Linked DNA regions of Canis lupus familiaris. The protein of the gene in region 1 purifies or fractionates together with the protein of each later gene. This does not show direct contact. Links are inferred from orthologs where the notes say so. Each region holds a gene or a part of one and is shown in the gene's direction. Other genes may lie near its edges.

Region 1 (3,500 bases):
GGAGGGGCTGCAGTTTTTCCTAGATGGCCCGGCCTGGAGGTCTGATCCTATCTGGAACAGGTCTCCGCACTTTTGGCCCTAGTGATTACTAAGAAGTAGAAAAATCTTATCTGGCTACTAGAAAGGGCCTCTCAGTGGCCTGAGTCTGTGGGCCTAGTCCTGACAGAAGAGAGGAAAGAAGCAGCACGAATGTGGGTGAGAGAGAAAGAGAGAGTGGCAGAGAAGTGGAGGAGGGGGATGAGGAGGAGGACGGGGATGACGGGAGGAGATGGGGGAGGCAGAAGAGGAAGGGAGGAGAGGGAGGCAGGAGAGGAGGAGGGGAGAGGTAGAGGAGGGAGAGGAGGAGGGGGATGAGGAGGAGGGAGAGGTAGAGGAGGGAGAGGAGGAGGGGGATGAGGAGGAGGGAGAGGTAGAGGAGGGAGAGGAGGAGGGGGATGAGGAGGAGGGAGAGGTAGAGGAGGGAGAGGAGGAGAGGAGGGGGATGAGGAGGGGGAGGAGGGAAGGAGGAAGGGGAGGAGGGGGATGAGGAGGGGGAGGAGGAGGGGGAGGTGGAAGATGAGGGGAACAGGGAGGAGGAGGAAGAGGAGGAGGGGGAGGAGGGGGGCGAGGAGGAGGAGGGGGAGGAGGGGGAGGAGGGCCGGCGTGGTGCTGGCGGCGGGGCTGCCCTCCCCTGGCCCGGCGGGCGGCGCGAGGCTGTGCCCGGGCGAGTGTGCAGCTGCCGCGGCGCCCGGGACCGCAAGGGGGCGTGTGGGGGCGTCGCGCCCGGAGCCGGAGCGCCCGCGAGCCGCCCCCCTGCCGCCCCCTGCCGCCCCCAGGCCCCGACAGCCCGGTGTCCCCGCTGAAGGAGCTGGCGCCCGCGGGCCGCGAGCAGCAGAGGGCCCTGGAGGCGCGGCTGGAGGCGCGGCTGGAGGAGCTGAGGAGGCTGTGCCTCAGGGAGGCGGTGAGGGCTGGGGGGGGCGCTGGGCTGGGGGGAGCCCGCTCCCTGGGGGGCTGGGCCGGCGGTGGGCGGGCAGGGGTGCGGGCGGCGAGCCGGCGGGCTGACGCGGCCTCCCCGCAGGAGCTGACGGGGCTGCTGCCCGCGGAGTACCCCCTCAGGCCCGGGGAGAAGGCGCCCAGGGTGCGGCGCAGGGTCGGGGCGGCCTACAGGCTGGACGAGCGGGCCCTGCGCGGAGAGGTGAGGCGGGCAGAGGCGCGGCGCGGCCTGCGGGGCGGCTCCTGAGGCCCGGCCGCTCCGCCCCGAGGCCGGCCCCCCCCCCCCGGGCACCCCCAGGAGGGCGGGGCGGGGCGGGGCGGGGCGGGGCGGGTGCTCCGGCGCCTGACCCCGCGCCCCGCAGGACCCGCTGGGCGGCCTGGAGCGCGAGCTGGCGGTGCAGCGGCAGATCGCGGCGGCGGCGCGGCGGCTGTGCGGCGAGGACCACCTGAGCAGGCAGGCGCGGCGGCAGCGGAAGCACGCGGTGCAGCGCGAGGAGGAGAAGCTGAGGGCGCTGCAGCGCTGCCTGCGGGAGCGGAGGCGCTCGGCCGGGGCGGCCCCCGCCGCGCGGGCCCTGGGCCGAGGTGAGCCGCCGCCGCCCCCTCCCGTGGCTCCCGCGTCCTCCTCGAACCCGGGAAGGGCCGCCCCTGAGGCGCCGCGCCGCGCTCCCGCAGGTGCCCCGGGCCTCAGCTTGGGCCTCAGCTGCAGAAGCCGGGCCCCTCCGGCGCGGGGTCGGGGGGAGGCGCTGCCCGCCGCCTCGGCGCCCAGGCCTACTGGGGGACGCTTAGCTGCAGACCGGCACCCCCTGCCCTACCGTGACCCCAGCCTCCCCCCGTGGCCCGGGGACCTGGGGCCGCAGCGTGCGGGGAGTGCTCCCTGCCCAGGACCCGCCGCTGCCGGACACCCTCGCAGCCCGGTCACCCTCCAGCAAGCGGTTCTGAGCCCTTGGGTGCGCTCACGCTGTTCTCAGACCCAAGCCCAGCTGCTTAGGTGGCCTGGCAGCCTCCCTTCCGGTTCCCAGGGCATCGTGCCCATGGCTGGCCCCGACCCACGCCTCCCGTGGGGCCCGACCTCCCGGGGTGGGGAGCGGTGGCCTGGGACAGGGCAGGATGCCCAGGCTCGGGTGGGCTCGGGGGATGGTTTCCTTCCCCCCACCCCAGGTTCCTACCCCTGCACCTTACGCTGCCTTTTCCCTGAGGCTGCTCTCCTCCCTTGGTTGGGGATGCTCGAATGTAGGGTCCCCCGTGCCTTGGACAAGGGGACGCGTTCAGCACAGGTCTCAGGAGTCCCCGCCGCCACAGGTTGTCTCTAATGTAGAGGGGAAGGGTGTGACCAGACCGCCTGCCAGGTCACCTCCAGCAGAGGCAGAGGGCCAGGGAGGAGGTGCCTCCCCGTGACAGCTGATCCAATAAACAGGGGAAGGTGCCCCCGCCCGACCCAGGCTCTGATGGCAACACTTCTCTGGGTCGACTGGCTCTGGCTCTGGCTCTGGCTCTGGCTCGGCCGGCTGCAAGACAGCACTTCCGGGCTCCAAGACCCAGATGGGAAAGTTCTCCGTCCTCCCTCTACTCTGACTGGGTCCCAGGACTTGACCCCTACGCCCCCTCCCCGCCCCCTTGAAAGGAAGCTATGGACCTGGGCACAGACAGTCCCTGAGGGCTCACTTGCTCTGCTGGGGGGGGGGGGCTGGCAGGGGAGGGAGAGGGCCCGTCTCTATTTGTCTCAGCCCCTTCTGCATTCCCCTCCAGCTGGAAATGCTCAGGCCTGCAGGTGGTGGGGTGGGGGGCGGTGGGGGGTGTTCCTCTGCGGCTGCCACTGCCACCAATGACGCTTCTTGCGGGGGCTGAGAGCAGGTCAGCACACGCCTGGGGCTTTGGTTAACCCTCTGGGGGGAGGCAGGAGGTTCTGAAACCTTCTCGGGGTGCTCAGCTCAGGTGAACACAGAGCTGTAGAGAAGAAACATGGTGTAGCGTGGCCTTTCGCCCTCCAGACCAGAGCGAAAGACCCTGCGCTCCCCACCTTCAAACCCTGCCTTGACCGTGGGGCCTGAGGTCTGGGGCTCTGATGTCCCTCCTTGGGAGCCTAGCAGGCGGCGGCTCTAGCAAGTGGTTCCATCCCTGTGGCATCCCTGCCCAGCGAGCTTCCCCTGGAAGGAGGAAGTAGGAAGGGATTAATAATTAGTAGCTGAAAGGTGTTTTGAATTAAAAAGAAAAAAAGCAAACAAGAAAGAAAGAATAAAAAGAAAAAGAAAAGAGAAAAAGCCACCCTGCCCCCTTGGTCTCCACACAAGGCTTATTCGATTTAGAATAATTACTAATTATGCAAGGTGGGAGTAATTAGTACCCTGCAGGTGGCAGGAGCAGGCAGGTGCTAAACTAATTTATCACAGTGAACTTAAGGAGAAATTCCCCTCAACACACACCTGATTGTCCTAGGTGCTCAGGATGCGTTTGTTGACTGACAACACCTGCCCTGAGCAATGCTGTCTACTAGAATGTCTTCTTTTTTTCTTTTAAGAGATTTACTTATT
Region 2 (3,998 bases), on another chromosome or scaffold:
CCTCCGGGCCCCAGCCCGCAGCACGTTCAGCAGGCGTTAGCTTGAGTTGAACACCCAGGGAGGACTCCAGCCTTTTGGATGAAGGCAGCGTACTCAGCACTACCTTTATTAAGACATCTGAGTGGGGTGTGTGTGACCGGTCGCTAGAAAACGGGGGGCGGGTGGGCTGTCTCAGGTTTCGGGGTGAGGAGGCCCGGGGAGGGGCCACCCGGGGCCCCGAGTTCAGTCTCTTCCCGGAGCAGCGGCCGTGGGCACTGAATCCTCTCACCGGCGTTCACGGCGAGGACTGCAGAGGGGACAGCCAGTGCCCTCCGTGTCCCAGAGCTGCGGAAGGACCGGCCTGCCTCCAGTCTTCATGCCGGGTGGCTTGTCACTGGGGCTCATTCTGTCTCCTTGGTGGTGCCGGCGGGGACCCCTGCTCTGATGCTTTGCATGGTGCTGCCCTAACCCCGCCACGCCGCCTTCCAGCCGCTGCATCCTTAACCGTCCTCGTCCTCCCCGTGCCAGTTCCCACGATGCGCCGGTGTAGGGACAAAGGTCAAACCAGTTCTAGTATTAAGAAAACCATCTCAGAAAATAAGAAAGAAGTATTGGCAGGTATCAGCAGAGCATGGCCCACTCTGTGTAGATCATGAATTTCCCTCTTTTCTCCCCATATATGTTCAAAACGTAATTGAATTTACTGGCAAAAATGGCCAATTGTAAACCTTTAAACAGCCTCCTCGTGTAGCCAGCAGAGGGCAGCACAGACGGCATTGACTGCATCATGTATTTTTTACTTTATTTTAAAAGGCGTCTAAAACTACTATGCCAACTACTTTCCGTACAGTTTGTCTTCTTCTTCTTCCTTTTTTTTTTTTTTGTAAGATTTTATTTATTAATTTGATAGGAGAGAAAACAAGCAGGGGGAGAAGCAGAGGGAGAGGGAGAAGCAGGCTCTCCGCCAAGCAGGGAGCCTGATGCAGGACTCGATCCCAGGAGCCCGGGATCATGACCTGAGCCCAAGGCAGATGCTCAACTGCTGAGCCACCCGGGTGACCCCCTCATTTGAATTTTTTGTAACACATATGTATTTTCTTTGTCCTCAGCCTTTTAAAAATTTTTCAGTTATATTATTTTTTATTTTTTGGCAAGATCCATTCCTGTTTGTGAGGAAAAACAGTACAAATCTGTATTTTTCAGGTAACCCAAGCAGAAGTAACTTCCCAAAGAGTTTGCAGTACTGCCAGGTGCCTGTGGATTTTCTTCTGCAGAGGATTGACGTCTTTGTCACCCTCCAGCCCAGCGCACAGCTGCTCTTCTGGGAGTCTTAGGACACTCGCATGGTTCTATGCCCCATGCCACTCTCGCCCTGGCAGCTCATCAGGAAAGATCTCAGCTGCAGAGGAGGGGTCCATCAGGAAGCAAAACCACTTACCCTCACATCCCAGAAAGGCTGCAGGGCTCCGTGGGCCTCTGTGAGTGGAGACAAGGGGTGAGGGTAGGGATTGGATGAGGGTGGAAGGTGTTCATGGCAGGCATGAAGGCTCTCAGGTCCCCTCCCCACATCCTGCAGCAAGGCAATGTCTCCTCCACTTTTGGTGGAACACAAAGGTTTGATTTCTGGAGAGCGCTATGGCGGCACAGGGAGAGTGAGCAAAGGTGTGTGTCCTTCGGTGTGGCCGTCCCACCCTTTCTCCCTCCACCTGGCGGCCCGGCTGCTCTGCCCAGGTTTGTAGCCCACACAGCCCAGGAAGGAGGTTGGAGGATGGCTCTTCAGGCTGATGGGAGAGAGAACCCACGGAGCCCCTCGCGGTCCGCGTGTTACCGCTTTCCTGCTTTAAGGGAGACCCAACGCTCCACAGGCCGCACCCACCACACGCCTTCTCACCAGGCTGCTGGTGCTGGCCCTTAGATGTGGAGGGACAGCCCACATCTTCACATCTGCTAGTGTGTGCCTGTCCTCGCCAATGTGCCGGCGTTTGAAAAGATGTTTGAGGAAACAGATTGTAGCAGGGCATTTTAAAAGCCACATACCTAGGAGTCTTAGATGTGATGTATTAATAAAACAAGAATAGGATGCTATCCAAAAGGAACATTCGGAGATTAAGAGTGGGCTCATGCGAGTTAAAAACAGCCAAAAGAAAACAATCCAGAGACTGGAAGATGAAGTAGAGAGCTGCCCCAGGGCAGGCCGTGACAGCACCACACACTGGGTGGTGTCTGCAGCGCTCTCTCGGGTGTGAGTGCTGCGGGTGTGAGACGGGGAGTCTGAGCAGGGCCGGCATCGGTGCTTCTTGCTCCCAGCTCCCTTCCTGGCCCCCAGGAGCCTGTCGTCCTGCTGTGTGCTCTCAAGGTATGAGGTACAAGGAGAGCCAGTTGGCCTCACTGGCCTCTTCCTGGACGGCCGCCAATCCCACACATGTGTGCTCCTTCCTCACGGCTTGATTGCCTCCCAAATGCCATCACGTTAGGGTTTCAGCACGCAGATCGGGGGTAAACGCTAACATTGAGTGCCTTGCAAGAATACTTCCTAGAAAGTGGTTCCACAAGGAGATGAAAAGTAGGATTCACAGTGGAGGTCCAGCGTCTAACAGAAACTCTAAACGGTGAGAGCTGAGAAAAAAGGGTAGGACATCATCAAAGATTATGAGACTTGAGAGTTGGGGTCTGCCTAGGGGCTAGCACAGTGTGTGCAAACGGACCCACACCTGGACACTGTGTTACAAAACCACACAGCGCCAAGGGTGAAGACCCTGAAAGCCTTCAGAGCAGGAAGATGGTCCCATAGAAAATTCTGGGGTTGGAATGGCACGGTCACTAACAGCACTGTGGGAGCAGAAGGCAGTGAGGGAATGCCTTCGCCATCGTGAGGAAGCGATTTTAACTTACAGCCCTGAATCCAGCCAGAGTGCCAGTCGAGTGTGGGAGGAGGACAGGGGTATTTCTGGACATGCAAAATCCACAGCAGTGATGGAAACCCATCCCTCGTGTCCTTCTTAGAGGATATGCTCTAGCAAAAGAAGGGATCCAGGAAGGAAGCACGGAATGAGAGAAACGGGAGGCGGCGTTTGGAAGAGGCAGAGGGAATTGCCAGGGTGCTGCTGTGAAAGCAGCAAGGCCGGGCCGGGAGGAGTGTGGAGGTTTTTGGAGGGCTGACCCAGAACTGGGTTGCTCCTGTTGACAGCGTCATACCTGGTGGAGAGAGCTTGGCTTTCCATCTGTAAGGCAGAGAGCTAAGCACACAGACACAAAGGAGACACTTCACGCCACTGCGTGGTAATTTCAATCCTAGTACGTTGTGTAGCTAAGCTGTGAGCAGTGTTTATGGAAGTAATAAACACTGATTTAACCCAAACCTCACGTGTAATTGTACGGAGCGTGTGTCAGGGCGGGGAGGGTGGGGGTCAGAGCTGAGTCTTCCTCTTCCATGGCAGGCAGTTGCTGCCCAGAATTGAGGACTCGGGAGCAGGTAGTGTGCTTGTGATGTGTGGAAGCAGGGAGGTAATCAGCAGAACAGAGAGCTGAAGGAGCCTACCTCCACGGAGCAGGATGCGAGCGTGGGGGCTGCAGTTGGGCAGGAAACTGTGGGTTGCTGTTTTAAGCCATAGGTACTGTTTGTTTTTTTATGTGATGTGTGCACGTTATTTTGGTTAAAGAGGAAACACTAGACACAAGGGGTAAGAAAAGCCTGGGGGGGCAGTGGGGTCGCATCCAGGAGGGTCTTGGAGCTATGATGAGGAGCTGAGACCTCGAGGCAGCGGATGGGGCCGTCGCAGACGTCCTTACCCTGCCGAGTGGCTCCTGGAGCTCGTGCCTTGGCGTGCAGCCCCCCGCCTGTGCCGTCGGCCCTCTCCGTCCTGCTGTTGTGGAGGCTGCCCTGCCTGCTGGCCTCCACTGGATCTGTCCAGGAGGCTGGAGAGTCCGAGGAGAATGAGGTCAGGGGGTCTTCTCCCTGCATGGTGGCTGAGGGTTATCCGGGCCCTGTCCCAGGGCCTGTCCGGTAGCCCCTGCAGCCG
Region 3 (4,039 bases), on another chromosome or scaffold:
GAGATGGGATAGATGGTCATGCCATTCATTGACAAAGAGACCACACAAAGAAAAACAACCTTGATGGGAAAAATAAACTGATGTGTTAGTTTGGGGCTGAAATAGTTTGTGTTGAAGTCTGAGATTCTTCTAAGTGCATACAAAAATGTTGAGGGCCCATTATCTGCTCTCATAGGTACTAGGAATGTGCTGGGTAATGAGAAAACAGGTGAACAAAACAGATGATTCGAATCTTATTGAGCTGACAAGTGAATCAAATAAACGATATAGGGCAGTCCCAGTGGCCTAGCAGTTTAGCGCCGCATTTGGCCTGGGATGTGACCCTGGAGACCCCGAATCGAGTCCCATGTCGGGCTCCCTGCATGGAGCCTGCTTCTCCCTCTGCCTGTGTCTCTGCCTCTCTGTGTGTCTGCTGTCATGAATAAATAAATAAAATCTTTTTTAAAAAATAAACGATATAAAATGTAATTTTAAACTTTGATAGGGGTTATGTAAGAAATTATAAGACATTTACTAGAATGTAAACTAATGTAGTTTAATGTTTACTCACGTCCTTAATACGGTCCTGAGAAGATTCCCTCAAAGTGCAATTTTTGGGTCTACAGATCTGTTTTTTTTTTTTTTTTAAGATTTTATTTATTTATTCATGACAGTCACACAGAGAGAGACACAGACAGAGGGAGAAGCAGGCTCCATGCAGGGAGCCCGACGTGGGACTCAATCCCGGGTCTCCAGGATCGCGCCCCGGGCCAAAGGCAGGTGCCAAACCGCTGCGCCTCCCAGGGATCCGATCTGCTTTATTTTTAAAAAACTAAACATACACCTAACTCTGAGAAATGAACAAGGGGTAGTGGAAGGGGAAGTGGGCGGGGGGTTGGGGTGATTGGGTGATGGGCACTGAGGGGGGCACTTGGCGGGATGAGCACTGGGTGTTATGCTATATGTTGGCAAATTGAACTTCAATTAAAAAAAAAACAACTAAAAAAAAAAACTAAAAAAACCATAGAGCTAAAAAATAAAATAAAAAAAACTAAAATAATAAACTACATCTTTTGGGGCAGCTTGAGGTTTAAAAATTTTTTTAAATTATCTTATAGGCTTTGGGGAATGAGAGAGGATACTAAAAACACACAAGGACTCTGGTTTCTTAAGTTCCCTTAGGGCATCGGGCATAGACTGATAAAATAAAAACTACATTTCCCAAGGAGCAGCGCGACACGTCACAAAGGAAGGACGGCGCATGCGCGGAAAGGTTCGCGCTGCGACTAGCTCGTAAAAGGGAAAAAGCGTGTGTAGTTCTCGACGTGCCGCGAATCTTCGAACGCAAGCGCGTTACGGTACTCAGACTTTGAAAAACATTCGAGGGACGCGCCCGCGGCTGCCGTCGTAATTTCCAGCTCGACGTGCCTATTCCGTGGCTTGGCAGGTGGGGATGGGTCGCAGTCTGGGGCCCCCGGGGAATGGCGGGAGCGGAGGGCCGGGGTCGCCCTCGGTACGTCCCCATTCCCGGGCCTCGCTGGGGCAACTCTCGGGGGGCGGTGCGCACGCGCCCTGGGCGGGGAGAGGCGGGGCTCGGGGAGGGGTGGGGCTGCGGCGGCGGTCTTTGGGCTCTGCGCATGCGCTGGCCGGCGCGGCGTGGAGGGGAAGCGGGCGTTCGCCGTGCGGGGCGCAGAAGCCGCAGAGGCGGCGGAGGCGGGGTCTTCAGCTCAGGTGCGAGAAGACGGCAGCGGGGTTGAGCCCCTTCTAACGAGACAACTTCATTCGCCCTCCGGAGATTTCCAGTTGCCTCCTCATCTCTCGGCGCCCGTTTGCAGCGTGAGGCTTCAGCCTTAGCTGGCGCCTCATCTCCAGGTCTCTTTCGAACCCGCTCTAGTCTAGGCCCCCAGCGCTCCACTAAAATAGCACTTGGTGGAAACCGCCAGTGACCTCTCGGTCGCCAAAGCTAGTGTTCAGTTCGTTCTCACCTCTGTAGCAATGGCTGATGCGCTTCATCACTGCCCTTTCTTGAAGCACTTCTTCGTTTGATTTGTAGGACATTCTCTTCAATTTTTTTTAAAGGTTTTATTTATTTATTCATGAGAATACACAGAGACGAGAGAGAGAGAGGCAGAGACACAGGCATAGGGAGAAGCAGGCTCCACGCAGGGAGCCCGATGTGGGACTCGATCCCCGGACTCCAGGATCACGCCCTGGGCTGAAGGCGGCGCTAAACCGCTGAGCCACCCGGGCTGCCCAATTTTTTTTTTTTTTTTTAATATTTTATGTATTCATGAGAAACACAGAGAGAGGCAGAGACCTAGGCAGAGGGAGAAGCAGGCTCCCTCCCTGCGGGAAGCCTGATGTGGGACTGGATCGCAGGACTCTGGGATCACGACCTGAGCCGAAGGCAGACACTGAGCCACCCAGGCCTCTTAAACATTCTCTTCTTTAGCTTCAGCTCTCTGGTTTCTCCTCTGCTGATTTCTTGTTCCTCGTCCCTATCTTTAATGGTTATACTCCCCCGCCCACGCCCTCATCCTAAGCTCTTCTTTGTGTCCACTTCCTAGGAGCTATCCATTTCAAAACTATTTTCTTTTTAAAAATATTTTCTTTATTTATTCTTGAGTGCTAGAGAGAGAGAGGTAGAGACAGGCAGAGTCTTGTAGGCTTCCTGCAAGGAGCCGGAGGCAGGACTCGGTTCTGGATCCCGGGATCATGCCATGAGCCGAAGACAGACGGTCAACCGCTGAGCCACCCAGGCGTCCCTATTTCAAGGCCTTAAATAGAAATACTATCTATTGTGCTCTCAAATGTCAATCTTCGACCCAGTGCTCTACCTCCAAGACCAGATTTTTATATTCAGCTTGCAAATGACATCTCAAAGTGTCGAGTCGGCATCTCAAACATGTCCAGAACTGAAATTTTGAGTTTTACCCCTCACATACCTTCACCACTTTCCCCAGTCTTCCCATTTTTCCAGTTGTTCAGGCCAACTCAGGCCAAATACTGATATATTCTTGGTGTTTTTTTGCAGCCTGGCCCTGCCCCCCCCCTTTTCCTTCTCCAGTGTATTAGTGTGTATGTGCCCTTAAGGCTTTGAAGTTTCACTACTGAGTGTTCTGTGGATATTCTCTTTGGCACTTGGTCATTTTTGCCTGAGAATTTGTGTTTTCCGTTCTTCAACATTACCTGTCATCGTTTATTCAAATTTATCCATGTATCCTGTTTTCTATGTCCTTTATAAGGTATTTACTTCACCTACAAATAAGTATATGGAACTACTTGTTTAATGTCTGTTCCTTTCTGGACTGTGAGTTTTGTAAGCAAGACAGGGACTCTTTGTCTCATTCACTGATGTATATTTCTCATTCCTAGCATAGAGTAGGTATTTGACAACTATTCATGAGTGCATTTATACAGGGAAGTATCTATAATATCAACTAATTGGGGTACCTGGGTGGCTCAGGTGGTTAAGCATCTGACTTTTGATCTCAACTCAGGTCTTAATCTTGCAGTCATAAGTTTGGGCCCTACATTGGGCATAGAGCTTACTTTTTAACCTGCCCCCCCCCAAAAAAAAAGGGGACAATTTTTTTTTTCCTGGGGTTGGAGGGAAGATAGTGAATAGCCCAACTTAAGAATTGTTGAGAGACTATTTTAAGAGATTTCCAGGATTCAGTTTGGTTCAGTAATGTATTCTGAAGACTTAGTAGGTGCTAGGCCCTGGGCTAGTTTCTGGGAATATAAAGACGAATACAACTGCATGTCAGTCTTCTAAGAGCTCGTGGTCTGCAGGAGAGATAAGTAAGTGAAACAGTCTCTCAATGTATGTGTGACAATGCAAGAACAGAAGTTTGTATACCATGCTTTGAAAGTTTTGACTGCCCTTGGCATCAGGGCAGATGAGTGGGGCCTGGGGCAGCCAGATCCCCCTGCCATTCTTTTCCAGCTGTGAGCAGCTTTGCCTTTTACCTGAGTGTGCCACACAAATGTTACCAGAAATATTTTGTACTGTGTGTGCTGTGGTGTGAGAAGGTTGGCAAGTACAACTCTTGAAGTG
Region 4 (3,500 bases), on another chromosome or scaffold:
GAAATATCTTTCTTTTGAGATGATTGAGAAATTCTGTGCAGTGGACTTGGACTGTGTTTGCTTTCTTTCCCAGGGACGACTTTAATATTAAAGTTCTCCAGGCGTTTGTCGAACTCCATGAGTTTGCTGATCTGAACCTTGTCCAAGCCTTAAGGTAAGTGTCAGAGTCTCGGCTGTTAGCGGGGAGGTGCTGGAGCAGGAGGCCGGGGCTCACCCCCAGAGGAGAGGGTGTTGCCCAAGGGTCTGGGTAGGCGTTCACGGACCGAGCTTGTGCTCGCCTTGGTGGGACCGCTGGGTGTGCGTGCCGTTCCCCACTCCTTTGCTTCTCCCTCATCTCAGTTGGTACTCAGTAGTCAGTGCATACTTTCTTCCCACTGCTGCAGCAGAGTCTTGGGGCGGCCTAGGCATGGGTCTGCTTCCTGGGGCATCTGATCTCAGATGCCTGCCTCGTGGACGCCCCAGCGTGGGTGGGGAGCGTGTGGACGGCCTGCTGTCAGAGGCTGCCCTCTAGTCCCTGCCTTGTCCAGGCAAAGCCAGCCATCATTACATGTCATAGGGGTGAATGCAAGAGGATGGCCCTTGTGTGGCCCTGAGGTTTTGCCGGCCACCATGGTAGAGGTGCCAGGTCATCCCTCTGGATGTCCACTCGAGGCATCGTCCTGTACACTCTGCTCTTCCTGCACCACCAAGAGGATCCGGTTTCCTTCCTGGTGTCCCAGCTGAGGCTCCGATGGCTGTCCCCCAAGCCAGGGCCATGCAGTCTCCATTGCGACTACTTCCTGCTCTGTGGCTGCAAAGTGTGTGACTGACCATGTTTCTGTCCTGCTCTTGGCCCTTGTCCCCATACGGCTTCCGCAAGTTGCACAGAGCTGGGGGTGGCTTTGCTGTCTGCCATTTGTCCTCTTCGGTGCCTCAGCTGGCCTGGGCTGAAGGAGGTGCTGACAACTCTGCAACACAGAGACACAGGCCTGGCGAGTCTGGGGTGTGGTCATGGCAGCCAGGGTTCCCTTTCTTTTAGCTGGTCAGTCTCTGGATGGAGCCAGGGGTCCCCGACGTGCTCCTGCGGGTGGTGCCGGCTGTCCCTGGGTGGACAGTTGAGGGCAGCAAGTGGCGGCCGCCACGTTGCTCCTGCGGGTCCTGGGGCTCTGCCCCCAGTGCCTCCCTCTGCCATCCAGGGGCTGCCTGGAGCATTCCCTGGTTGGGGGTCCTCTAGAGGGAGAGACACCATCATCCCCTGGTGTTGGTGTCTTCGCAGGCAGTTCTTGTGGAGCTTTCGACTTCCGGGGGAGGCTCAGAAGATCGACCGCATGATGGAGGCGTTTGCGTCCCGCTATTGCCTGTGCAACCCGGGCGTTTTCCAGTCCACAGGTCGGTGAGGGTTGGGCCCCAGCACTGTGCGCCTCTGCCGGGTGGAGGGGGTGCCTCTGGCCGGGCAGGCGGCTGAGCGCCCCGGCTCCCTCTGTCCTCTTTCAGACACCTGCTATGTGCTGTCGTTTGCCATCATCATGCTCAACACCAGCCTCCACAACCACAATGTGCGGGACAAGCCCACGGCTGAGCGCTTCGTCACCATGAACCGTGGCATCAATGAGGGAGGGGATCTCCCGGAGGAGCTGCTGCGGGTGAGCTTCCCTCTTCCACGGAACTGGCCCTCGCCCCTCAGGAGCTGCCACCGCCGCCCCTTAACCTTCAGGCACCTCGTGGCCCTGGTCCCGCTGAGCCTGGCGCCCTCGGGGACACAGTGCTGACTGGGCCCTCCCCACCCCTGGCCCCCGGCTGCATCCCTGAGACCATTGTCCCCGTGCTCCTCGCAGAACTTATACGAGAGTATCAAGAACGAGCCGTTTAAGATCCCCGAGGATGATGGCAATGACCTGACACACACGTTCTTCAACCCTGACCGTGAGGGCTGGCTCCTGAAGCTGGGTGAGTGGCGGCCAGCAGGTGGGCCCCGCGCTCGGAGCCCCCAGCCCTCGGCCCCCAAGGCCCCCGACCAAAGGCAGAACCGCTAGAAGCAAGGGCTGTTGGGCCGAGTCCGCCCACGGTAGCCGGCCGCACGCCCCAGACTTGATGGCTGCTGCTTTGAGCCCTGCCCTGTCCGAACGAGGCCATCTTGTCAGTGTCCACGGCAGGAGAGTAACGCCCGGGCTGCACGAGCGTCCGAGAAAACTGCTCACTTAGCATCCAGATAGACCCAAGCAGTTTTCTGTACCAGAGGCAGGTGCATTTACTGCGAGAACCTGCGTGCCTTTCTCTTGGTTTGGTGTGGCTGATTTTTGATGAGTGGTTTAAATGTGCCTTCTTGTTTTCCTTCTGCCTGTGGCTCCCACCTTTCTGTTCTGTGACGGGCTGTCCCTGCTTGTTCTGCGTTAGGAGGTACGTACCCAGTGGCTTCCTGCCCCTTCCCCAGCTGCTCATTCCTCTCTCAGTTTCTCTCCCCCGTTGGTCTGTGTGAAGCTCTGATTTGTGGCTGCCATTCATCTGACCCATGTGGCTTTGGACTTGCCGGGGTTAGCTTCATGCAGGGTGCAGCGAATGTGACACCTACACCTCCGGGGCCGGGCGAGGCATGGCTGGAATGCCAGCCTTTCTGCGCCCGGGAGCGCATGGGAATGCCGTGTGGGAACGAGCTTGCCCCTCAGTGTCCTTAGGGCCTGAGCAGCCACGAGACTGCTGGTTGCCTGCTCCATTCCCGTACATCACCGGTTGCCTCTCATACTAACCAAACAGCGCATGTTTGCACCACCCTTGGACGGAATCCGGAAATGTTTAAAAGGCTTCCTAACCATTGACAAAGAAGTACAGAAACATTGATATTTTCTGGGCAATTTAATGAATTGTTAGGGTGGGGTGTTTTGTTTTGTTTTTACTCTGGGGAGATTGGGATTTCTGCCTTACTGTGACATGAGAGCCTGTGAGACGTGACAACTGTGTACCATCCGGGCACTCTGAGAACATACTGTAAGACATCAAGAAGTCCGGCAACTTTGTGTTTTTAATCAAGTGTGGGTAAGAGGCATGAAGGTGTGTGCTGGGGCTCAGCCATTCTGATTTGGGGTCTTGCTCTGACTTCTCTGCCTGTGCTGCCAGTTAGGGGAGTTCTAGATCTTTGTCTGCAAACTCAGAGCCCTAAGCGTGGACTTGAATGCTTTCATGGATTTCGAGATGCATCTCTGAGGTCACGTCACACCTGTGGCCCTGGGGTGAGGGCAGAGGAGGGATGTGTCTGACACACCAGCAGCTGCACTTGGGTCCCTCCTGTTCCTGCACGGCCAGGGAATGCCCCTCGTGTGACGGTGACAGTGACAGTGCAAGCCTGCCTGGCAGTTGGTGTAGCCTCAGCACCAGTGGGAGATGCTCCTGCTTCTAAAGACAGAACAAAATGAGGGAGGTAAAGGCACAGCAGGCCTTATTTTCCAACCTGTGTTCTGGTTGTACATGTAAGCAGTGCCCAGAGCACCCTTAGGGGCCACAGAGCTGGCTTGGGTGCTGGGTAGGTG
Region 5 (4,147 bases), on another chromosome or scaffold:
ATCCCCCACTTAATAACCGGATGGGATTAATTAGCTAGCTGTTCTCCCAGTGCAGGTGTCTGAGGTAGGGACAGGGGTGAGGGTAATGGAAACACCGGCATGGGGAAGGATGTTAAGTTAGGGGTGAAGGGACAGGAGGGGGGTTCTGCTTGGAAGGAAGAAGAGTGGGGCCAGGCTGGCACACCCTAGCTTTCCACGAGGGGAGGACAAGACCCAGGCCACTCATAAAGGTCAGGGAGGAGATTAAGAGGCTCCGTGTCTAATCTGTCAGCTTAACCAGGTCCTGGCCCTGAATCTGTCCCCACCTGCCTAGCCCAGGGATGGCAAATGAGGACAAGGCCCAGTCACTACCTGAGACCCAGTTAGGGACCCACCCATGACAGTGATGCCCGGGTGCTCCATTCGGGCCAGCTGCCTGCACTTGGTTTTTCTGCAAGGAATGGAAATGAGAGGCTGGGGCGGAGGGGGAGGGGAGAGAAGGGTATCATAGGTGGGGAGACTCCGAGAGGAGGGAGGAGTTTAAGAAGAGGGGGAACCTGAAGGGAGGGGAGGCAGAGAGGACGGAAAGGACTTTGTGAGCGAGGAAGGAACCGGAGAGGTGGGAGGATGTTGAGGAAGAGGAGCCGTTTTAGGGGAAGGATGCTAAAGTGAGGGGAGGAGTATGAGGGAGAGAGGGAGGAACTCGAGAGGCAGAAGGCGTCAGGAAGGCGTAGCCTTCCCCAAATGTCCCACTCTGCATGACAGATACCCAATAGCGTAGAAAGAAAGTCTTTGTTTCACCACCCCTCGGCTCGCAAGAGGCTGAAGTGGCTGGGGAAGTCCTGAGAGGGGTTAAAGAAAGGATCTGGAGATCAGAGAGGCCAGTAAGGGGAGGAAGGAGGCCAAACGACGGGCCAAAGCGGCTCCCAGTTGCCTGGCAACCGCTGCGGTCAAAAGCCTGCTGCGCCGGCCGCGGAGGTGTGGCTCCCGGAAACAGCCGACAGTTGTGGCGCCGCCCCCTGGCAACGAGACTAACAAAGTACCGCTCCCCGGCAACCTATCACCAGAGGCGGGGTCGACTGGCCTAGCGTCCTTCCAGAGCCCTTGCGCAGGCGCCGTCCTCTCGGCTCGCGCACGGTCCCGCCTCCATGCAATTCCTCTCCGAGTCTTCTCATTGGCGGGCACGCCAGCCACAAACCTTCTTTTGTTTCGGGGGCGGGGCCTGGCTCCCTGGCCGCACTCCGATTGGCCCTACCGCCCGTCTATCTCCGCCCGGACGGTGCTACGTCTGTTCCCTGTGCGCCTATTGGTCCTGGAGGACGATCCTTCGGGGTCGGGGGCGGGGCAGACGAGAGGGCTCTCCATGGATTGGGCGGTGTCAAAACGAGGGGCGGTCCCTATCGGCGGGGCGGTTGGGAGGCGAAAGGAGAGTCTTTTCAGCGCTGAGGACTGGCGCTGAGGAGGCGGCGGTGGCTCCCGGGGCGTTTGAGCGGGCTCACCCGAGCCCGCGGGCCAACGCGGATCCAGGCCCGACCGGCGGGACCGCCCCGGACTCCCCGCGGGCCTTCCTAGCCGCCATGGAGGACGGTGTCTATGGTAGGTCAGGGAGGGGCGGGGCCGGCTGGGAGCGGATGGAGCGTTTGGACTGGAACGTTCGGCCGCGAACGTCCCTCCCGGCGCGCGCCGCGCGGCGCCTTGGGGCCCCGTCGAAGCCTCGCTTTTGTGGGGCGCGGAACGGGCTTCCGGCGGGGCCCGAGAGCAGGGCGTTCCAGGCCATTGTGTGGGCCGAGCCTGTTTCCGGTGGCGGCGGGAGGGGCGGGATGGAGCGGCGGAGGCGCGGCCGGGGCGGAACCATTCCCGCTGGAAGGGCCGGGCGAGCCCAGTGCCTGCTGGGAGCCGGGAGGGGGGCTTCTGGGGCGCTTGGCTGGGGAGAAATCTTGGGGGCTGCGGGGATCCCGCGAAGGCGGGGCGGGGGCCTTCGATGCCCCGCCCCCCTTCCCCAACTCTCAGGAGCTGTCACCAGCTTTCCCTGCCGTAGTTACTTTTCATGGACCCAGGAGTCCGGACACCCAAGCTCCCAGTTGCCTCGCCAGGAATGGAGGCAGAGAACCAAGGCCTCACTCCCCTTCCAAGTAATGGACCCGGAAGTTCGGCCTCCCAGCCCCCTTCTGCCTCAGACTCAGGAGTCCTGACCCCTAGCCTCCTCCTGCCCCAGGACTTAAGAGTCTAGATCCGCAGCCCTTCCTTGTCTGGGCTGAGAAATCTAGACTCCCAGCCCCTTCTTCCAGGAGACAGAGGAGGCCCAATCCTCATCCTCATCCTCCCTTGCAACCTAGTCCTGCCCACCCCAGCTCGGTCCTCCCCCAGATTGCAGGAATCCAGGTTCCCAGCCCCCAGAACTGACCTCCAACCCCTGACCCTGACCCACAGAGCCCCCAGACCTGACTCCGGAGGAGCGGATGGAGCTGGAGAACATCCGGCGGCGGAAACAGGAGCTGCTGGTGGAGATCCAGCGCCTTCGGGAGGAGCTCAGTGAAGCCATGAGCGAGGTGGAGGGTCTGGAGGCCAATGAGGGCAGGTGAGGGCTGGGGTGGGGAACTTGGGGATCATGGGGCCAGGCCAGGGACGTCCAGGCATTGAGCCTCCATCCCTTGCTCTCTCCTGCAGTAAGACCTTGCAACGGAACCGGAAGATGGCAATGGGCAGGAAGAAGTTCAACATGGATCCCAAGAAGGTGCTTGGGTCACAGGGCTGGGATCGGCCAGGCAGACATCCAGACAGGGGCTTCTGGCACTTTCAGGTTCTAGATCTACTTGAGGTGGACACATGTGGCTCTAATTCCGGGATTCAGATATTGGCAGTCCATTTGTTTTCTGAACACTAACGGAGGTGTCCCCGCCTCCTGACCTTTGTGTGTCCTGTGTCCTCTGCCTGGGAGGCTCCCTTCCCCTTTCTGTTCATATTTCTGGACCCTCTTGTGGTGCCACCTAGAGTCTCAGGAGTAGCTCGAGTGTGGTAGGGAACATGGACCATGACATGCCCAAAGGAGGGTTGACCAGTGCCACTTCACAGAGATCCCAGGGCTGTGGACCTTCATGGGGGAGCTTCGTAAAGTTAGGGCTTTCTCGAGGAGAGGATGTTCAGGTCCGGTTTGAAGGACGAGTCAGTGTCCACCTGGTGCAGAGAGATGTTTGTTTACTAGGTCATTCATTTCACACATTCTCTGTGGCCTCCCTCGAGCTTGCCCGTGTACTAGGCAGGGCTGGAGACCCAGGACAAGAGCTGGCCCTACCTTGCCTTTGATGAGCCCTTAGACATGGCTGCCACACTCCAGAGTTAGGTGTAGCTCTCCTGGCCCAGGGTGAGCCAAGAAGGCCCCATCCATCCTGAGGCTTGGCCCTCACAGCCCGTGACATGCTGCTGCCTACTAACAGTGTCTCACGGTATTCTTGAAGCCCAAAGCAGTTGTAGTTTGTCACACATTCAGCAAACTCACTGGGCTCCTATTCCTTGTGGGACTCTGCCCTTGCTGCTGGACTAACCAGGCAAAGGCAGAGGGAACAGTAGGTGTGAAGGCTCTGAGGCGGAAGGGATGGTATTTAGGGACCGCTGTGAAGCCCCAAAACAAGACTTGACCCAGTTCTGTCCAGGCTGGGGGTGGATGCTGAGGTCCTTGGGGAGGCGGTGGGGCGTGGCTTTCTGGCTGTTGAGGCTGAGACCTGGTCCCCACCCACCAGGGGATCCAGTTCTTGGTGGAGAATGAGCTTCTGCAGAACACACCCGAAGAAATCGCCCGCTTTCTGTACAAGGGTGAGGGCCTGAACAAGACCGCCATCGGGGACTACCTGGGGGAGAGGTGAGACCCTGCCCAGCTCCCTGTCATCCCCTGTGCCCAGCTCCTTTTTTTTTTTTTTTTTTTTTTTTAAGATTTTATTTATTCACGAGAGCCACAGAAAGAGAGGCTGAGACACAGGTAGAGGGAGGAAAAGCAGGTTCCATGCAAGGAGCCCGATGTGGGACTTGATCCCAGAAATCTGGGATCACGCCCTGAGCCAAAGGTAGGAAGCACCCACTGAGCCAGCCAGGCGTCCCTGCCCAACTCCTGCCCTTAGGCCACCAGCTTTCTCTCCTGAGAGAGGCCCTAATAGACCTGCCCTCTGGCTGGATT
Region 6 (2,589 bases), about 32 Mb from region 1:
GCATAGAGCCTGCTTCTCCCTCTGCTTGTGCCTCTGCCTCTCTCTCTCTCTCTGTCTCTGTGTGTCATGAATAAATAAATAAAATCTTTAAAAAAAAAGGGATTAGCCAAATTTAAGCTCATACAAGCATCAGTAGTTGAAATATTATCCAAGACATAAGCAGTGTTTACATCCAAATTTAACTGCATCTACAATTATCTTTTTTCCCCCATATTCTTGTTTTCCCTTCAGCAATCAATGCGATGATTGACCCAGATGGAACTCTGGAGGCTTTGAACAACATGGGATTCCCCAGTGCTATCTTGCCATCTCCACCAAAACAGAAGTCTCCCGTGAATAACCACAGCAGCCCGGGTCAGACACCGACACTTTGCCCGCCAGAAGCTAGGGTTCCCCATCCTGCTGCTATCTCAGTGTCAGCTGAATTTGAGAATGCCGAGTCTGAGGCTGATTTCAGTATCCATTTCAATAGGTTCAACCCTGATGGGGAAGAGGAAGACGTTACAGTACATGAGTGACTTTCTCTCGATGTTTAAAAACCAGTACCTGTGGATGACTAGGAATACTGGAAGCAGCATAGTGTTGACTTAACAAAACAAGACCGCTTGATCAGCTACAATCTTGTTCTCTCTGTCTTCTTAATTTTATTTATTTATTTTTTACCTATAATGTGGTATCCTATTAATCCTTCAGACCATTAGAAAACTACGTGATGCACATATAGGAAAAAGCAGATTGTGGCAGTTTCGCCTTTTGTGGTTTTATGATTTTCAAATTGAATTCTCTCATTGCATCCTTTCCCTTCATAGATCTTTGTTTTTTTTCTTTAAGCCATGCTGTGACCTACAAGCAAATTAAATACCCAACATTTCTGACCCCCATGTCTTCTGTGCCAAGCTGCTCCCGAAATGGACTTCCTCTTCATCTGTACAGATTTGTTAAACGCTTATATTTACTTCTTAATAATAGGATTTATATTAGTATTCATTACCATTGGATACAATGACATATTACTCTCCACAGTCCTGACCTTTCAAAACAGTCGTTCTTGTGTTCTGAAATTTTCCAGCATATATGTGATTTATATAACTTTGTTGCTACGTAAATTGTCTTGGGGTTTACGGAGATGAACTATTATGTTTGCACTAAGATTTGCCGGGAGTGGTAGGTGGACATAGCTGTATATCAATAAGGAAGGACTAACCGTCTTTTTTGTATATAGGATATTGATAATACTGTATTTGTTTTAACCCCTCGGTGTTTTACTCCACTTTCAAAATGCTCAATTTGGCACTTTTTTCAAAAATTTTTTTTAACGGAAGTAAGATTTTTGTCTCATTTTAGAGCAGATGATAAGTAGACAGATTAGACTGTTTAGGTGGAGTATATTTTTTAAACTGAGAACATGTATATTGGTCCTGTGTTACCAAGTTTATATGTGACAGTTGAAAAAAAATCCCCTTGAGATGATCATGAGGTTAAGATTTGCTTCTTTAGGAGACTTGGAGAACCAGTAGTCATAAGATTAGTGGATAGTTTCACTCCCAAGCAATGAACTGCTTCTGTGTGTTCCCCAGTAGGACCCAGTAGTAAATCCTGTCCGTCTTACACATTTAGAAGGACCCTGCAAGACCGTAATGATGAAGGCTCAGGCCTATGCCACTAAACAGGAAGCCTGTGGAAAAGTACCTTCTGTAAACTTGTGTTTTCTCCTTCCAGTAAGTTCACATTTGGATAAGTTTTAAAAGAAAGTAATTATCTTTGTGTTTCCAGAACACTATAATTTGGGCGAATCTTAATTCCTTTAAATATTACTTAGTAGACTTGGATTTCCCCCTTGACCCTATCAGTCTATAAAGATTAATACTGCAGTTTTTGCAACTTTTACGAATGGTCTTTAGTATTTCAGCAATAATCCTTTACTACATTGGTTGCAAGAGACTAACTCTGGACGTATCAAAACTTTACAAGATTTAAAAACTCCTGTAATGTTGGGCCAGTTAATAGAGATGCAAAAAAAAAAAAGAAAAGAAAAAAAAGAAAACCCACAAAAAAACCCTTTTTATAGAGATGTAAAAAACAAAAGACTGTTGTATAATGAATCTCATATTTTTCTTTAAATTAAAAAAAAGGTAAATGAACTATTCTCCTTGTAAAGCTAACTTCTCCATTCTATTTAATAAAGGAAGACTGAAAAAAAGTTTTAAAGAACATGAATGGAATGATACAAAAATGCTTTGAAGGAGGAAGTGAAACATTAAAACAGGGTCAGTCCATTTGAAGAAAAAGTCAAACAAAATAATCACCATTGCTCTCTCTTTTATTTAATGTTTGGGTACTGATTATATCCCCATGGAAGTAGAAGGTAAGGAGTTGTTTAGGAAAATATTAGCATCTACTCTACTTACATTATCCTTTAAGTGTTTACACCGTTTTGTTCAATTATAAACATTTGGCCTTTTACTATGTTATTTTTATTTTGTATGAATACATTTCCTCCTTATTTATTTTTGTTACATTTATTACTTATGTTATTTTGTTATGCATTTACAACTCCATTTTTAAATAAAGTGTTTCTGGAACTTTATA

What was found.
Region 2: the proteins of INAVA (region 1) and CYTH1 purify together in Homo sapiens (co-immunoprecipitation; 3 studies listed by BioGRID and IntAct, counting the BioPlex papers as one, with this or other methods). This does not show direct contact. The link is inferred for Canis lupus familiaris from reciprocal best matches to the Homo sapiens genes INAVA and CYTH1.
Region 3: the proteins of INAVA (region 1) and SGF29 purify together in Homo sapiens (co-immunoprecipitation; 3 studies listed by BioGRID and IntAct, counting the BioPlex papers as one, with this or other methods). This does not show direct contact. The link is inferred for Canis lupus familiaris from reciprocal best matches to the Homo sapiens genes INAVA and SGF29.
Region 4: the proteins of INAVA (region 1) and CYTH3 purify together in Homo sapiens (co-immunoprecipitation; 3 studies listed by BioGRID and IntAct, counting the BioPlex papers as one, with this or other methods). This does not show direct contact. The link is inferred for Canis lupus familiaris from reciprocal best matches to the Homo sapiens genes INAVA and CYTH3.
Region 5: the proteins of INAVA (region 1) and CYTH2 purify together in Homo sapiens (co-immunoprecipitation; 3 studies listed by BioGRID and IntAct, counting the BioPlex papers as one, with this or other methods). This does not show direct contact. The link is inferred for Canis lupus familiaris from reciprocal best matches to the Homo sapiens genes INAVA and CYTH2.
Region 6: the proteins of INAVA (region 1) and CEP170 purify together in Homo sapiens (co-immunoprecipitation; 3 studies listed by BioGRID and IntAct, counting the BioPlex papers as one, with this or other methods). This does not show direct contact. The link is inferred for Canis lupus familiaris from reciprocal best matches to the Homo sapiens genes INAVA and CEP170.

The regions. Positions count from the first base shown.
Region 1 is NC_049228.1:2,036,754-2,040,253, reverse strand, and holds part of INAVA (innate immunity activator protein), read left to right. Parts: intron 1-815; coding exon 816-940; intron 941-1,057; coding exon 1,058-1,174; intron 1,175-1,334; coding exon 1,335-1,554; intron 1,555-3,500. UniProt on the Homo sapiens protein: Expressed in peripheral macrophages and intestinal myeloid-derived cells, is required for optimal PRR (pattern recognition receptor)-induced signaling, cytokine secretion, and bacterial clearance.
Region 2 is NC_049230.1:3,507,908-3,511,905, forward strand, and holds the start of CYTH1 (cytohesin-1), read left to right. Parts: upstream 1-1,198; 5' UTR 1,199-1,330; coding exon 1,331-1,457; intron 1,458-3,998. UniProt on the Homo sapiens protein: Promotes guanine-nucleotide exchange on ARF1, ARF5 and ARF6. Promotes the activation of ARF factors through replacement of GDP with GTP.
Region 3 is NC_049227.1:18,372,763-18,376,801, reverse strand, and holds the start of SGF29 (SAGA-associated factor 29), read left to right. Parts: upstream 1-1,239; 5' UTR 1,240-1,426; exon of another isoform or gene 1,427-1,491; intron 1,492-1,656; exon of another isoform or gene 1,657-1,710; intron 1,711-1,716; exon of another isoform or gene 1,717-1,851; intron 1,852-4,039. UniProt on the Homo sapiens protein: Chromatin reader component of some histone acetyltransferase (HAT) SAGA-type complexes like the TFTC-HAT, ATAC or STAGA complexes.
Region 4 is NC_049227.1:11,644,696-11,648,195, reverse strand, and holds part of CYTH3 (cytohesin-3), read left to right. Parts: intron 1-73; coding exon 74-154; intron 155-1,255; coding exon 1,256-1,368; intron 1,369-1,473; coding exon 1,474-1,622; intron 1,623-1,814; coding exon 1,815-1,926; coding exon of another isoform or gene 1,927-1,927; intron 1,928-3,500. UniProt on the Homo sapiens protein: Promotes guanine-nucleotide exchange on ARF1 and ARF6. Promotes the activation of ARF factors through replacement of GDP with GTP. Plays a role in the epithelial polarization.
Region 5 is NC_049222.1:108,474,275-108,478,421, reverse strand, and holds the start of CYTH2 (cytohesin-2), read left to right. Parts: upstream 1-1,347; 5' UTR 1,348-1,556; coding exon of another isoform or gene 1,557-1,572; coding exon 1,573-1,575; intron 1,576-2,017; coding exon 2,018-2,111; intron 2,112-2,409; coding exon 2,410-2,557; intron 2,558-2,646; coding exon 2,647-2,713; intron 2,714-3,716; coding exon 3,717-3,835; intron 3,836-4,147. UniProt on the Homo sapiens protein: Acts as a guanine-nucleotide exchange factor (GEF). Promotes guanine-nucleotide exchange on ARF1, ARF3 and ARF6. Activates ARF factors through replacement of GDP with GTP.
Region 6 is NC_049228.1:34,209,951-34,212,539, reverse strand, and holds the end of CEP170 (centrosomal protein of 170 kDa), read left to right. Parts: intron 1-231; coding exon 232-518; coding exon of another isoform or gene 519-591; 3' UTR 592-831; coding exon of another isoform or gene 832-842; 3' UTR 843-2,089; downstream 2,090-2,589.